Linked DNA regions of Daphnia pulex. The protein of the gene in region 2 purifies or fractionates together with the protein of the main gene of each other region. This does not show direct contact. Links are inferred from orthologs where the notes say so. Each region holds a gene or a part of one and is shown on either strand. Other genes may lie near its edges.

Evidence for each region. Proteins that work in one complex are often made in the same cells at the same time.
Region 1: the proteins of protein lingerer-like (region 2) and fragile X mental retardation syndrome-related protein 1-like purify together in Drosophila melanogaster (affinity purification with western blotting; 3 studies listed by BioGRID, with this or other methods). This does not show direct contact. The link is inferred for Daphnia pulex from reciprocal best matches to the Drosophila melanogaster genes lig and Fmr1.
Region 3: the proteins of protein lingerer-like (region 2) and ras GTPase-activating protein-binding protein 1-like purify together in Drosophila melanogaster (affinity purification with western blotting; 3 studies listed by BioGRID, with this or other methods). This does not show direct contact. The link is inferred for Daphnia pulex from reciprocal best matches to the Drosophila melanogaster genes lig and rin.

The regions. Positions count from the first base shown.
Region 1 is NC_060025.1:5,456,893-5,461,989, forward strand, and holds the start of fragile X mental retardation syndrome-related protein 1-like, read right to left. Parts: upstream 3,192-5,097; 5' UTR 3,082-3,191; coding exon 3,031-3,081; intron 2,705-3,030; coding exon 2,652-2,704; intron 2,595-2,651; coding exon 2,441-2,594; intron 2,336-2,440; coding exon 2,172-2,335; intron 2,032-2,171; coding exon 1,938-2,031; intron 1,874-1,937; coding exon 1,731-1,873; intron 1,671-1,730; coding exon 1,523-1,670; intron 1,457-1,522; coding exon 1,175-1,456; intron 957-1,174; coding exon 844-956; intron 773-843; coding exon 531-772; intron 118-530; coding exon 1-117. Other genes in the region: integrator complex subunit 6-like, read right to left, coding at 4,552-4,721, 4,781-4,951, 5,027-5,097. UniProt on the Drosophila melanogaster protein: Polyribosome-associated RNA-binding protein that plays a role in neuronal development and synaptic plasticity through the regulation of protein synthesis of mRNAs.
Region 2 is NC_060028.1:8,099,191-8,104,598, forward strand, and holds the start of protein lingerer-like, read left to right. Parts: upstream 1-1,837; 5' UTR 1,838-1,884; exon of another isoform or gene 1,885-1,977; intron 1,978-1,992; exon of another isoform or gene 1,993-2,391; intron 2,392-2,452; 5' UTR 2,453-2,537; coding exon 2,538-2,714; intron 2,715-2,790; coding exon 2,791-2,874; intron 2,875-2,937; coding exon 2,938-3,045; intron 3,046-3,102; coding exon 3,103-3,993; intron 3,994-4,060; coding exon 4,061-5,389; intron 5,390-5,408. Other genes in the region: reticulon-4-interacting protein 1 homolog, mitochondrial-like, read right to left, coding at 57-674, 745-792. UniProt on the Drosophila melanogaster protein: Acts in the nervous system to mediate the control of copulatory organs during courtship.
Region 3 is NC_060021.1:6,438,210-6,443,575, reverse strand, and holds the start of ras GTPase-activating protein-binding protein 1-like, read right to left. Parts: upstream 3,192-5,366; 5' UTR 3,036-3,191; intron 2,886-3,035; exon of another isoform or gene 2,739-2,885; intron 2,601-2,738; 5' UTR 2,508-2,600; coding exon 2,410-2,507; intron 2,339-2,409; coding exon 2,161-2,338; intron 2,101-2,160; coding exon 1,984-2,100; intron 1,926-1,983; coding exon 1,839-1,925; intron 1,775-1,838; coding exon 1,400-1,774; intron 1,340-1,399; coding exon 1,172-1,339; intron 1,104-1,171; coding exon 920-1,103; intron 864-919; coding exon 673-863; intron 618-672; coding exon 474-617; intron 413-473; coding exon 140-412; 3' UTR 1-139. Other genes in the region: ethanolamine-phosphate phospho-lyase-like, read right to left, coding at 3,955-4,048, 4,119-4,304, 4,434-4,678, 4,748-4,867, 4,938-5,025, 5,100-5,256, 5,313-5,366.

The DNA.
Region 1 (5,097 bases), on a different chromosome or scaffold from region 2:
TAGCAGCACTCGAAAGATCTTGACTATCTGGCGCCGATTCCTCTTCACCACGCCGTTCAGAATCCATCATGCGATCTCCAAAACCACGTCGGAATCCTCTTGATCTACCTCGAAAACCTGAAAACGATCACGTGGAAATTAGACCAAGAACACCGAAAAATGCAGTCACATAAAAGAAAAAAAGACAAGCAGTTCAGGTTTGAACTAGAACAAAATGCTTTTCATTTCCCCTTTTAACTTCGCACAAGAAACAACTTTTAACCACTTTTCCATTAGTCATAGCATTTTCAACACATCCCCTAGTCTACGAATCACAACAAATTACTAGAAGACATGACAACATCTGCCCAAATGTTTTCCCATCCTCCAGGGAATCGCAAAACTACTGTAGGTCATAGATATTGGAAAAGTGTACGAAAAGCACACATCATATCATCCCCTTATGGGGAAGGACGGATACTGTGTTAATCAATGGACATAACATTCTCCTCAATTCAGTCATGAAAATACACACGTGTGTAAAGACTCACCGCTGTCGCGATCTCCTCGTTCAACGTGCTCATTTCGTTCCAGACGATCAGCCCGTTCTCCTCGACCACGAGTTACTCCTCGACCCCTCACCGATGATGCAATCCCACTTCTTTCCACATTAAATCTTTCCACAAAACGACCACTGCTGACAGGTGCTCCTCTCCCTCCACCTCGACCCCGACCACGTGTCATGTTTCCTCGGTCACGATTTCCTCCATTATCTGGTTCAGCACTATACCCCCTAAAAATAAATTTAATTGGAGGAATGCCAAGAAATTTAAAATAAAACAAACAAACAAACAGCCAAAATACCTATCAATGCGTCGTGGAGGTGGGAAGGTAGGGGCAGATGTTAGGTTGCTATTGTGAATAGAGCGAAGTTGCTGATCGATCTCCAATTTCTCCATGCGTAATTGTTCCACTTCCTGGAAACAGTCAAAAAAGAGTAATTAATACAGCAGCTTAAAAATCTTTAGGGGGATGACAACTCAATGTATGATTGTCTACTGCTACAGAAAGTAACCATGTCAAGTATAATTAATACTGATTTGGAATCAACCATGCTGAATGAATAGAAACAAAAACGTTGCAAAGAGAGGCTACAAATGGTGATACTAGGAGGAACTAGACTAAAATTTCGTACTTTCAAATGTGCTAGATGATACTCGAGAAGGACTTTGGCATTGGCTATGGAGTCCACTGTGCCCACGAACACAAATGGAACCAATCCATCTTCGCGAGGATGAGTCGGATTAGGTTCGTTGTCTCCTTCAATTTTAACCCGGACAACATTACTCTTGTCGACAATCTCTTGAATGACACGCCCGTTCTTTCCTATGACTTTTCCGACCAAAAACCGAGGCACCTGAATGGATTCTTCGCCATATTCCAGCATTCCACGAGCTTTTCTTACTGAATCTTCAATCTGAAATTCGAAACCACCAATTACAACAAAACCACATGAAATAAAATAAGGCGGTAAATGAAATACTTCTCCGTGTATACGAAAGGTACAGGAATTCTCCAATAGCTCAATGTTGGTTATCCCATCAATCTTTCGAGCTTGTTGAATGTTGGCTCCATGCGCTCCAATAGCCAATCCCATCAAATCCTCCCTCACCGTGAACTCCTCCGTAAAGCTTCAGAAATAAGATAACTTAAGTAAGAAATGCAAAAAACTGTTGACGCTATTCACTCACCCTCCGCTAGAATGTGTTCTTGTACATTCGAGCTGTTTAGCAGCTTCTTCAGTTCTTTTGAGCAGCACCACTTTTTGCGTCAGGTTACGAAAATGCATATCCTGCAACAGACCAGCTCGCTTTCGACTGGATTCGTGCCGTGACTGAACAATCAAAAACATTAATACATTAATACCAGATCAATAAATAAAGAAAAACAAAACTTACCATAACACTAAGCATTCCTTTATCGGGTACATATCGACAGACGGCTGCTTCAATCGCTTTTTGAAATTCCTTGTGTACTCCATCCCTCTTAGCACTGAAACAGATAGTGGTGCAATTACAATTTGGTTTAGGTGTTTTTGGTATACACCAAATAAATATTGTTTTTCTCATTTCATTTGAATAATTAATACTGTTTTGGGTTTTGTTAAGTTAACAAGTGTAAGTAAAACTCACTATTCCCGTAGTTCTTCAGGCACCTCAATTTCAAATTTGAAAAAGTTGGCTTTTGTTAAAGGTGAATTGGTGTTTGATGGACGAATTCTCTCACCAGGTACTATTTCCGAATATGACATCTCCCAGCCAACATATTCCACGACATAAAACTCTCCTCTGATCATCTAAGAATAAAATAAATACCAATGAATTTCAATGTATTAATTCTAGATCATCTTTCAGAAATATTTTCTTGTTTCCTTTAAAAATGAATTAATCAAGAAAATTACCTTAATAACAGCTTTCCACCAACCAAATGCTTCCTGTTCATTTGCTTTTGAGTAAACTTCAATTTCTTGGTTTTCTACAAATGTAAATGGACCTTTGCTGTCCTTGAGAGGTAAGCGGGACCTTGAAAATAGAAACTTTGTTTCTGGCTGCCAACTAATAAAAAAGGGTAATTATTGGTTTGGTAAATTCTAACTTATTTAATATACATACTCATTCTCAAATGCAACAGAAATCTCATCTTCATGAACATCAGTGACAAATGCCTGTAGAAGATGGCATAAAATTCAAATAGTTATAACACAAAATAAGACAAACTAAACACAGCTATGAAAATTTATAAAAAAGGACGTAGAAATTTGCATCAAAACAGTCGGTAAATCCTTAATACTAACAAATTCTACAAGCCAAGCCATATTATCAAAAAGGGCAGGGCCGGTTCATTCACTACCGATTCCAGCCTAACATTTTCGGACTTAAAAGACTATAAACAATATTATCGTTATACATGATGAATCCAGAAGAAATAATTCAAATTTATACAGAATTGACATTGCTACAGAAATTAATAAATATGTATTTTATTATTCACCTTATACCAAGCCCCATTTTCACCCCGGACTTCAACGGCAAGATCCTCCATTTTCCTCGGGGAGCTCGAACACCGTTGCCAAATTGCTCAATTCCAAATTGCAATGCCTATGACTCGTTTCCCCTTGCCAGATTTATTCTAATGATCAACGTTTTCTCAGAGTTGGTTTTCTATTGCCAATCGTCAGTTTTCGTCACGTGTCGCTTTCGTTAAACTACTGCATCTTAAAAAAAATTAGAATACAGACTAAAACTATATTTCATTAGATAATGTAAAATACAATTCCAATTTTATGGAATGTTGCTAAAACGAAAGCGATCCCTATTTGTTTTGACATAAAATCAGGTTAACACTTCACAGTTGGGAATTGGGATTAATAAGATGTTGATGGTTACCTATCAACTTTTACGAAAGATCGTCTATCAACTTCTTGCTCTCTATTGAGCCTAGAATAATGTTTCAAAAATTACCGGTGGTTTGCATTTCTTAAGAAAATTCCTTAAGTTTCTGTGTAAATTTTAAGAAATCTTATGCTATCCCGAGGACTCGGAATTTATTATTTCAAGTCAAAACCATAATGGATGTAAAAATATGTGAATAATCGCATTCGAGCTGATTCTAATGGAAAAAAAGAAAACATTCTAATGGAAAACAATTTATTAGAATAAAAATCCCAACCTCAATTCGTCTCAATTAAAAACAATTCGTCTCAATTAAAAAAAAAAGAAGTTAAATAGCAGAAAAAGAAAGTGTTACCGCTATACTTGAATGATATAGGCACACAACTAACGGTCACGACAGCTGAAGCTGATAGTTTGCTTCTTTCCAAAAGTATTTTATCACGCCAATTTCGATTATACTTAACAAAAACAAAAAGTAGATTTATTTGCTGTAATCTTTTGATGTAAAAATTCAGCGTGAATCGAAATGGATACCCAAAACCGAATATTCATAAAAGATTCAAATTGAGTTAAACTGAATCGTGATTTGGCCAATTCGAGTCGAGACCATTGGAAAAAAAAGAACTATCCAACTCAGGAAAATTACCGCAGTTTTTGGAAGCTTCGGAACAATTCTCCGATGCATATGAGAATATGCACCTCTAGACCTTTTTATTGTTACTTAATCCACGGTACCAACAAAAGTAGCATCCGTAACCCGAACCCGATGCCAAATTTTAACAGCACTTTGTCTGCCCTACTGCATCAGTTTAAACGATAAATCAATTTAATACATGATTAGGTTAAACTAATTAATGTTACAAATTCACAAAAAAATAATTATCTGATTACCAAATTTTACTTAAATTTTTTTTTTTAAATCACACGAAGGAACGCTCCAGTATCACTCATTGGTGTGCTTACATGCTTACAAGTACATCACAATATCAACTTGTTCATGGAAGATAAATGAAATAAATACTAAAACTGGGCACATCATTTTTGTTTTAACAGCTTAATGATTCTGTTTTGAATTTCAAGCCTACATCTTGAGAGCAATAGTTTCACAAAAAATTACACATTATAAAACTTCTGGGTCTCTTCCAAGGCTGTTAAGAAATTGCCTAACAAGATCAGCCAAAATACGACGCTTAAATCTGAGACATTCGCTGATAACATCCATGACTACAGATTTGCGTAAGTCCAACGACCCTTTAAGACGGGAAAGTTCATTGAAAACGCCACTAAAATCTGCAATATAAAATTTGTCAAATATTTGCCAAGATTGAATAAGACTGATTACAACTCACTCCTGCCAGGTCGTTTAATTGCTCGACATGCAGCAGATTTGACTTGAAGATTATGTTGTTGTATTTCTTGAATTTCGGAGCGTCGTAAATTTCCATTAAGAGACAGTTTGTCGCCAACGCCGGTGCAATTAAGAAAACTGTAACTGCTATTCTCGTGGTTTCCGTATACGTCTAAGGAATATTTGTTTTAAAAGTGAATAACTAACTCAAAGATTTCTTTTAAAACACCAAGATAGAGGCAATTACCTTTAATATCACCATTAACAAGATGATTGGTCATGGTAGAAGCAAGAGTGTCAGGACTCCCTATTGTACCA
Region 2 (5,408 bases):
TAGTAGTAAATAATAAAATGGTGATAAAAAAATTGTAAAAAATGTTTGAAGTATACTTGATGATAATGATGATATTGGCTCCTAATCACTTTTCCGTATCCAAAGGTGATCTTGATGTCAATGGGATCAATGGAGGATGCTTTAACTTGGATCATGACATCTTCAGCCCCACAGCTATTTGGAGCTACCATGTCATCAATCATAGCAATTGACTCTGGAGCTCCAGCATATGAATTACAAACTAAAGCCCTCATGCGTGTAAGGGGCTTGACATTCTGTTTGATTTGTATCCCAATGATGAATCCAATAGCAATTCCAGACAAGAGAAAGTAAATATGGCTTTGATCAACTGCTGACAAATACTTCTGAATAATCTGAAAACTCAGCATGGATTGCAGATGATAGAGTTTTTGTTGGATATAATCTAAAACACTTTCGAAAAATTGACCCATTCCATTGTACTGAACAGCCAGAGACTGTTTCAAACTATTGATCCAAGAACGGCAATTCTCAAGAAACCAACTCCATTGCCAATTGGCCCAGGTATGGAACGGAATACCTGAATCGCTTGATCCCACTAAATTAGAGAAAGCTGAACTGCTTTGATTTGATACATAGTTTAAGGCATTTTTGGCTAACCGTGTGCTGTTTTCAATATAAGGCGAAATCGTATGCTGCGTTTAAAAAAGAATTCTTTTAATATTTATCTTCAACAACCAATTCAACAACAAGAGAAAATCTTACCTGCAAATAATCGAACCGCTCGCCTATTTGAAAGGTAAGCCTGTCCATTCTTACGCAAATTTCTTTTTGGCTTAATACGAAGAATCCACACTTGAAAAGGATAATTTAATTAACATTTTTCGTAAATCTTTTAAAATCAAAACAAACGAAGAAAAAAATAACGTGAAATAACGTGATACAAAACATATGATGGCTCTAAATATCGATCATTTGTTTTTTCTTGTAAATCGATAAGATTCCGATATGCAAATTTTTTTCCAATTTTAACACTAATAAATTAAAGTGAATGCACGTTTACACGATTCGGAAAATACAATTGAATCTCAGGAATAAATATGGGTTGAACTCACGAAAACGCTAGGTTTAAATTGCGCGCGTTTTATAGAGCGGTTAGAACCCACTTGACATGTACATTTTTGTATCTTTAAAAAATTCTAAAAGATAAATATTATTTTTCCTTTCTTTATTCTCGAAGTAAAAGTCAGAAAGGACGTTACCAATAAACAAGGACCTCCTAGTCCTAGGCATTACATGATATTTCGGCGCTAAAACTACTAGCGTTACGGCGGACGATAAATGCGCTACCTGTATTGGAAATCGAATAACTTATCCTTTCCCTTTTTTTCTCGGTATCTTTCTTTTCCACGAACATTTTCTTTGCATTTGGAGAATCTCATTGAAAGGAATACGATGTAAATTATATTGCTTGGGTTACAATCTCCTCTTGGTGCTTAATTTACTCTTTATTGACGGAGAAAACGCTGGCTTAGCACAATCTCGAAGGCCAACAAATAAAGAAAGCTATAACAAATGTTTTAGTCTATTAAATTACAACCTATTTTCGTTTCCTATAGAATTCGTGTAAGTCGGTGCAATAGAGATACATCCGTGGGTGTTATCAGTCTCTCGGAAATAGACAGGTGGATCAATAAATGGATCAATATTTTAAGATATAGCAACTAGCAAGCAGCTAACTTGCGGTACATGCATGAAAATAGATGCAAGGGAGGGGGGTACGAAGTACGAGAGAGGCGGCCTATATCCGTAGATGGTTTCAAAAGCGAATTGGCAGCGTCGCACTCGCAGAGTTAACAAAAGTGTACGACGGCTTTTGTGATTCATCGTGTAGACTACTCGCAGGTACGGCCTCGATTTTAACTTTGGAATTTGTTTAAAAACATTTCGTGAATTAACACTTCGGTTGTGATTTGTCGTAGTGGAAAGGGAAATAAGGTTGTTAGATGAGCATTTATAGTTTTCGGTCCAACAGTAAATATATCTCGTGTCTTGCATCCAACGAGGGTTTCACAAGGGGCTTATGGAAACGGGCGCGGGCGATGATTGTTGCCGGCGTCCCCCCCTTCTTTTTCTTTGAGCAAAGATGGCGTCTCTGAGCCACATGGCCTATCCTTTGTATTGTTCTTGATGTCGAAACTGCGATTTCAGAACATTGCTCAACGTCTTGCTGAAGCCTTTTAATTGCAATCCATTTTAATTTTCATTGTGCTTTTTATTATTTGGTGAGGAAGTCGGGTATTCACACCATCAATTACAACGTTTATAACTCACGTCGTAGTTGATTCTGAATGATTTGTGTCGTTGAATTATTTGAAGTGTAGAACATTTTCGTAACTGGGTAGTAGATAGGTTCATCAGTTGTGTGGTTTATTGATGTTACCTGTAATTTAATGTAATTTTGTCTTTGCAGAATTTCTGTACATAGTTGTGTGTACATACAAATCGGTAATTGGTTTGGGGCACAACAGTACTAAACCAGTGGCAATCTTGTACGAATGAGAATGAGTTCAACAGCTAAGAAAGGGGATAAAGGCAAGTCCTCCACCAATGCTTCTCAGACTTTATCCAAGGACACAGCATCCCATTCTTCCTCAAAGATGGCAAATTCCAAAACTGGAGAGTCAAAAAATGATTCCAGCAAAGCAGTTGATCAAATCAATCCTAAGCTCCTGGTAAGTTCGATGCCTACAGTTTTCATTTAAAATCTGTAACTGGTGCAAATAATGATATTTTTTTTTTAATGTTTAGCCTACTGCTGAGCAACTTCGTATTGCTCAGATGATCAGTGACAGCAGAAAGGATGATCCAGAACTTCCAGAAAAAGTCAACAAGGTGTGCAGTTACATTGAAGAATGTATTTTGTATTTTCTAACTCAGTTCTTTGTGTATTTTTAGCTGGTGGAGTTGACCAACTGCAGTCCTGATGCAGCAATCATTGCTCTCCATGATTCAAATAATGATTTGGAACATGCCATTGCAGTCCTCCTTGATGGAGAAACTGAGGTAGTTACTTTTGTGAAAAATAAATTAGTGAATATGTACCAATTTGATCAATTTTAGGGTGACTGGGAAGTGTCAGGGAAGAAGAAGAAACCCAAGCAGTCAGCTCAGCAACCAGTAGGTGGTGATGGAACGGAGGGTGGCAGTGGAACAGGAGCCGGACGTGGAAGGGATCGCGAGAGGGACAGGCCAAGAAGCAGTCGTGGTGGCCCACCTAGGCTGCGAGGACGCGGCCGTGGTCGAGATAACAAGGAAAATGTGGAAGAAGGTGATGGGGAATTTGGCGGATCTCGTGGAAGAGGATCTCGTAGCGGCCCACGTATGTCAAATGGACCTGGAAGAGAAGGATCTAGTGGTCGAGGTAGTGGTGGTGGTGGTCGAGGTGGTCGAGGAGGTTTCCGCCGAGGACAACGTGGCCCTGCCCCAGTCGCTGATACATGGGAGGAAGGTGCCGAGTACTCAGCCATGACAAACGTTGAGCCTTGGGGAGTCGACTTTCCATCGGCAGAAGATTGGGATAACGAAGAATACATCGGTTCATTGGTTGAAACAAAGGTGTTTACACCGTCCCAATCGGCTGCAGCAAATGTTCCAGCACCAACACCCGTTATTCCCGAACCTACGCCGCTGACGAACGGTTCAACATCAATTTCTAACGGCGGCGGTAGCAGCAGCAGTAGCCATGTCGAACCTGTTGTTCCTGTTCCTGCTCCTCCACCTCAGGTTCAATATTCCACCATCAACAACAGCGCGCAACAAGGCATCGACTTGAATGCACTGCTCCAAAAGACGTCTGGCGTCACAGTGGCTGGATCGTCGATGCAGCAACAATTCCTACAATATAGCCAAGCAACTGATGCACTAAAAGCTGCTATGGGTGTTGGCGGAGTTCCTTCATCCAACATGAAATCCGCGAAGCCTTTGCGAGCTAAAATCCCTCCACCTTCTAAAGTATGTTTAATTCCCATTAAGTAAATTTGTAATTGAACTAACGGCTGCTTTATTGTTCCTTGTGCAGATTCCTCTCTCTGCAGTTGAAATGCCGGACGATCCAATTGTTTCCGGACTGGATGTGAAATTTGGAACCCTTGATTTTGGTATCGAACCTTCCGGTTTCGATATGAACATCGACGTTTCGATGATTCCTTCATCCACAGCGAACATGAATATGTCGAAGCAGCCAGATCATCATCAGCAACAACAACAACAGCAGCAGCAGCAGCAGCAGCAACATCATCATCATCAACATCAACAGCAGCAGCAACAACATCAACAGCAGCAGCAACAACATCAACAGCAGCAACAACAACAACAGCAGCAATCGAAACATGGACTTATGTCGAAGATGGAACAGCAGTACGCCAGTAATGCTTCTGCTCCACAGCCGCCTGCACCTTCAACATTGCCCAAACCCGATTCTTCTCTAGGTGGTTTTTCCGCGTCGTCAGCATCGGCTTCTCAACAATCGATGGCGACGACATCCACTCAAGTAAAATCGACCAATAGTCCAGCGTCGTATCCATACGGCACGTCTTACGCGCCTCCCGGCGTGAATAGTGCTTCTACTCAGGCAACGACTACGGGTGTCTCTCAGCCGGCTGGTGCTTATCCCTCCAGCAGTCAGACAAGTATGTGCCTACCTGAAAATGAATTCCTGTATTTGCTTGGCCAACATTATTTTAATCCGCATATCTACTTTCAAGGCGGTGTGTACAGTAACAATTCATCCAACTCGGGATATCAAGGTGCTAGCAGTCAAACCGCTTACGGTTCTTATGCCCAGCAACAGCCACAACAGCAACCTCAGCAACAACAGCAGCAGCAACAACAACAATCTAGTTACCAGACGTACAACAACAAATTGAGCGCTGCCAGTAGCTTGAATGATGCATCGAGCTCCGTCTCTTCGCTAAGAGGAGACATGCCCAGTGCTACGGCTGCGTCGGCTTCTTCTAGGCAACCCAGCGCTGTAACGTCTGCAGCTACTGCGGCAAACAAGCAATCGGGCACGACGCTTGCTGCTAGTGGTTCGGGACTTCCCAACATGCCTCCTGGTGTGCCAATGCTTGGTCCTGGCAGTTTCATCATGGGCCAGGCTCCCGGTCTGCCCTATTATGCCGCCGCCGCTGCTGCTGGTATCCAGCATCAACAAGTGTACAGTCTTGAAGACATGCAGTATCGGTATCCCCACCTAGCTGCAGGGTACTATGATATGGGCTATCAATCGCCTACCAGTTTGGGCGGAGGACGCGATGGAACTCTTGCTTCGTTGGCTTATGCCACTGGAACCGACGCTAAGTTCTCGCGCAATGAAAATAACTCTCCAGTTCCTACCTCGCTATCTCAGGTTAGTTGTTAGTAGTGTA
Region 3 (5,366 bases), on a different chromosome or scaffold from region 2:
GTATCAGAAAACGCAAAAAAAAAAAATAATAATAAACTGGTAGGTTAAATTAAACGTAGTGGAGAGAAAGTCCTACATGAGGACAAAGAAAGTAAGTTTGAAAATTAAAAGGTTTGCAAGAAAACACGGCCTTCCTTCTTTATTGACGACGAGGCATGTATCCACCACGTCCACCTCCGCTTCCCATTCCACGTCCTCCACCACCTCCACTATTGCCTCCCTCGCGTGGTGGGCCGCTGTTCATGCCCATTCCCATAGAACCCATGGGACGCCCTCCCCTACCAGGACCTCCCATGCCACCTCCGCGATTCATCGAACCACCACGCTGACCGTCGCGAGGACCTGATGAGTTGGGTGGGCCGTTGCGACGCTTCGGCTCAACATTCAGTCGGTGATCTCCATTCAGCATGGGCTACAAAAAGAATATTGATTCAATTATACTGTCATTCCCTCCTCTGTGCTAAGTTGAATACCTTGTCTGCAAGCGCAGCTTCTGCAGCCTTTGGCGATTCAAAAACAACAAAAGCGTAGAGTGGAGCTCTTCCACCAGCAGCTCGGACACCATTCTTGCCGTGGATCCTAACATCAAGAACGGGGCCGAAACGCTCAAACAATTCCTGAAAAGAACCAATATTAATGGTTGCCCTACTTTGGTTGGTGCAAAGGAAATACCTTGAGAGCTTCTTCAGTTGTTACGTGAGGAATGTTCCCAACGAAAACTTGAAGATTGTCATCATATCGACGGAATTCACGGTCCTTTTCACGTTGGTAACCGTCTCCATTGGGTTGTTTCCATTCTCCGATCTCTTCAGTCGAGTCCCGAGATGGGGCACGGTTATCGGACCACCGTTCACCTTTTTCGCCTAAGTAAGTATTTGAAATTAAATACACACGGATAGAGATGTAAAGAAAATCTTACCTCGGTCTTGATCTCGATCTCTGTTGTTGTAAGATCCTGGACCCGATACGGTGCGACCATTTCCCATCGCTGGAGGACGTGCAGAGCGTTGATAGTTATTTCGTTGCGGCTGTGTTTGTCCAGCAGCAGGGAAACTATCGTTACCATTGACGTTTGTAGTAGCCGAGGTAGATTCAGTGTTGGTCTACAACATGAAAAAAAGTAAATCGTAAAGTTTCTGAACCTTGACTGATATGATTTTAAAACAACTACCTGAGTAACAGGAGCAGTAGCAGGAGCAGCAGTAGAGGTAGAGCTAGTTGTAGTAGTGCTCTTCACCGAACCAAATGGAGGTACGGTTGAGGGGAGACCAGTAGTTGTGCCATTGTAAGCGCCGGGGTTCTTGAACAAGTTTGCAAAGGTCTTCGGTTCTGAGGGAGCCTGATAAAACAATCCCACTTTACACTAGAGCACATACTTGAAATGTATATTTTGACATACCGATGGATTAGAAGCCGCCACTGTCTCAGGTGCACGTTTAGCAGGTGCAGGTGCTGGCTCTGGAACAGAGGGTGGCTCAGGTTCTCGAACCGGTTCGGGAGCAGCTTCGAACTTCTCAGGTGGTGGTGGTGCTGCTACTGCAGTTGGAGGTGTAACAACTTTCGGTGGACGAGAGACTTGTTGTACGGGTTCTGGTTGTTGAACAGGTGGAACCGTATATGTGGTGACCGAAGGAGTAGTCCTCTGACGAATTTCTTCTTCGACGTGTTGATCAGTTCCGTTCATTCCAATTGCATGTCCGGCAGTCAACTCAGTTTGTTGGACCGTTGGTTGAGGAACGACAGCGGGAGCCACCGGAGCATGATTAACTTCAACCTGTTTAAGACAGAAAGTAATTGAAATGGTTGAATTTCGATGAAGACCAATTAACGAATCTTACGGGAGCGGGACGCGGTTGTTGCACTTCATTCTCGTTCTCAACTGGACGGTCTTCGACGCCATCCTCATCGTCAAAGAAAGCATCGTCCTGAAAATGAATAACGTTTTATTTATGAAACCAATCAGGATAATTAGTAGTAACTTACCTGATAGCGAAAGATGTCGTTGCGAACGTAGTACTTTTTAGCTGATTGCGGGGCTAACACGAAAGTTTGAACAAACCGGCGCATTGGTTGACCATTGTTGGACAGCTCACCAGATACCTTGGAAAAAGGATGCACATTGGTAACTGTGGATAATATGTTAATAGTAAGACATCATACCTGGACAACAACTCCATTCTCTAGAGTGCGATGGGAGTCAACCAACAAGATCTTCGCTTTGCAATCATGGAAGTCGAGCTCCATGATCTTCTGATGGATTTGCTGTTGACCATGGACTTCTTCTGGCAAACGTTCCTTGAGTCCTCCATGGACAAATGACGAATCATGATTGTAAAACCTGATGTTAAAACAAAATTACTACCACAAGATCAAGATCCTTACATGAGTTACACCACAGTCTATAGATACCTGTGCAAATGCAGAGGAGCTTTATTGAGAAGGGTGTAGTACTGACGTACAAACTCCCTTCCCACACATTGTGGGCTCGGAACGGCTTCCATGACCATGCTGATTTTATTGAAGAATAGTTTTCACTAGAAAATGAAGTTGAAGTGGGAAGATCTGTATGGTTTACTGAAGTCTAATAACTTCAATTGAACCTAGTTAAGAAAAAAAGAATTATATTAATTTATCAAGAGTTCTTATCTTGCACAAAGGGACTGAGTCAGATTCTGTGGCAACTTTTATCTTTTACAATTTAGTCTTAAAATCACAACCCAGATAAGCAATAATTTTACCTTGGCAACAAACAAACTTATTTAATACTTTAAGAGAAAGTTACTGGCTAAATTTGAATGAAAACGAACAACAAAATGGGACTGTCAAGACAACGAACGAACAACGAGGTAGTATCACCCCTCACGCTGTGGGAGTTCAAAAATTTCTACCCGATCACAGCTTTCAGTTTTCATAGAGTTGTTACTTAACTTGGTAGGTAAAAGCTATAAATATAGTCACGAGCAAAGGTTAAAGAATTTCGTGATTCAAATATTCAATTTTCGGCATAATGAAGCTTAACATAAAACACACATTACCTTTCAATACCCGTAACAAGCAATTCGTACGCGGCAACACATGCAACTATGCACTGACCAATGCTCGGCTTCTTTTTTCTTCTCTCTTTTCCTAGGTTTCGGCTTGTGGGCCGCTTGGAGGCGCTTCAGCCAGCGTTTCTCGATTTCATTAAATGAATTCTACGCACTTAAAATATTTCGCCGCGCAGCAGGCAAATCGCAAATCCAACATTTTTTAAAAAGTCTATTGCAATTTGCAAAACTGCGAGCATTTTGCTATGCAAAAATATTCTTCTGCGTAATAAGAGATTATTTTTTTCGTTTTTTGCATTACGAATGAGTCACGAGGCCATGTTCATGTGAGATGTGACAGTATAGTTGCAGTCAAGAAAAGCTTAAAATAGCAGCGTCAAAATTCATGGAGGAATTTCGTAGAACAATTTTATTAGTTTCCAATCACCTAAAGAAATGGGGCATTCTGCTTAATAAATGTGTTGGCATCAGCAAAAAGGATACAGTAACAAAATGAAAGAGAAATTTCGTAGGATTGGTTAACAACGTATATTTGTCCCAAAGTTTATAAGTGAATACACAATGTTTACAATAACAAAGTAAAAACAAACATCCCACAATGATATTTCCTCTCCAAAATTTAAACTAATCCAGTTATGACCCAGACATAATGAGATACAACTCCTAACCTTAGTTATGAGATTTTGAAATTATAACAACTTTGACCAGAATCTCAGGAATTTAAGAACTGTATGTATACCACCCCCTAAATCGCCGTCGGGAAATCTTGGATATGCTGGAAATATGACGGACTTAACGCAGGATTTAGAGAACGTTAACAGAGCAGTAACAAAAACTTATAAAACTATGAGGATTTTTCCACAAATATATAAAACAGACGAGAAAAAAGTCGCATTAACTAATATCTTTAGTCCATTTCCTCATAGGTTCTCTGTCTTTTAGCAGGAGACGTATCTGTTTCTTCGTCACCTCCCATCACATTGAGCGGAATATTATCCAGTCTACTCATAAGAGAAAATAAAGTTAACATAATGTCAAATCAATTCATTTTGAGCGCCAATATTAACGTACCCGAGAAAAGACGTATTAGGCCTTACTGGTTCCGACTCTTCACTCTGGTTGGCCTTCGTGAAAGCCTTATCGAATGCTTCAACGACACGCCGGGCATTGTCCAACGTAAAGCATAGTGGTGGAGTTAGGGCGATTACATTACGTTCTTCACCTTGGGTAGCAACAATCACCTTTTCTTCTTTCAACCTACAGCATTTTGAAAAAAAAAAAAAAAACAGGCTTTAGTATTTACTTTTAATTCTTGTTTCAAATTGATTAATGGCATTAAATTTGGAGAAACTTCTATTAATTACATAAATTTAAAAGTTTCCTTACAAATAAAGAATGCGATTAGCTAGAATCGTCGCAGGCTTCATATCTGGACGTCCACAAACTACCTCCACACCGACGCAAAGACCCATTCCACGAACATCTCCGATACTTGGGTGCTTCGACATCAATCCTCTCAGTCCTTCCAAAAGGGATTTTCCAACCATTTTGGCTGAATACATTAACTTTTCGTTGACAATCACTTCCAAGACTGCTTTACCAATTGCGCACGCCAAAGGATTTCCCCCATACTAAAAGAATTCATTTAAAGCGAGTTAACACAATGGGGTGACACGTTTCGCTTTTTTTACAAGATTTACCGTATTCATATACTCTGGCAAACAACTTGCTATCTCTCTCGATGTTACAACGGCAGCAATGGGAAAACCATTTCCTATGGATTTTCCAAAAGTGAGAATATCTGGCACGACACCATACAACTAGAATACAAAAGATTTCTTATGATACTTAAATTTTCAACAATTTATCTTATTAATTTGATGACGCAACCTGGAACGCCCAAAAATCTCCTCCAATGCGACCTAAACTTGTCTGCACTTCATCTGCAATGCAAATACCTCCTTGGTTTCGAATCATCCTGCAACATAGCATTTCATTAAATACAAATCAAATCTTGTAATGTAAACTTATTGAAGAATGTGCAGCACTTACTGGTAGAGGTTTTTGAAGTAGCCCAAAGGTGGTATCACCAATCCAGCTGCTGATATGACCATTTCTGACAAAAGGATGCCAATTGATCGTCCATTTTTCGAAGCGTTTTCAATTACCCTTTGGGCATCTTCGCAAAACTTTTCTTGATTTGCTTGCTCTGTACGTTAATTAAAAAATTTAAGGAAAATCCCAAAATATGTTAAAAAAAACTACCATTCTCGACTGTCTGATCTTCGATGTTTTGACATTTCGGAAGTGGAATGACGT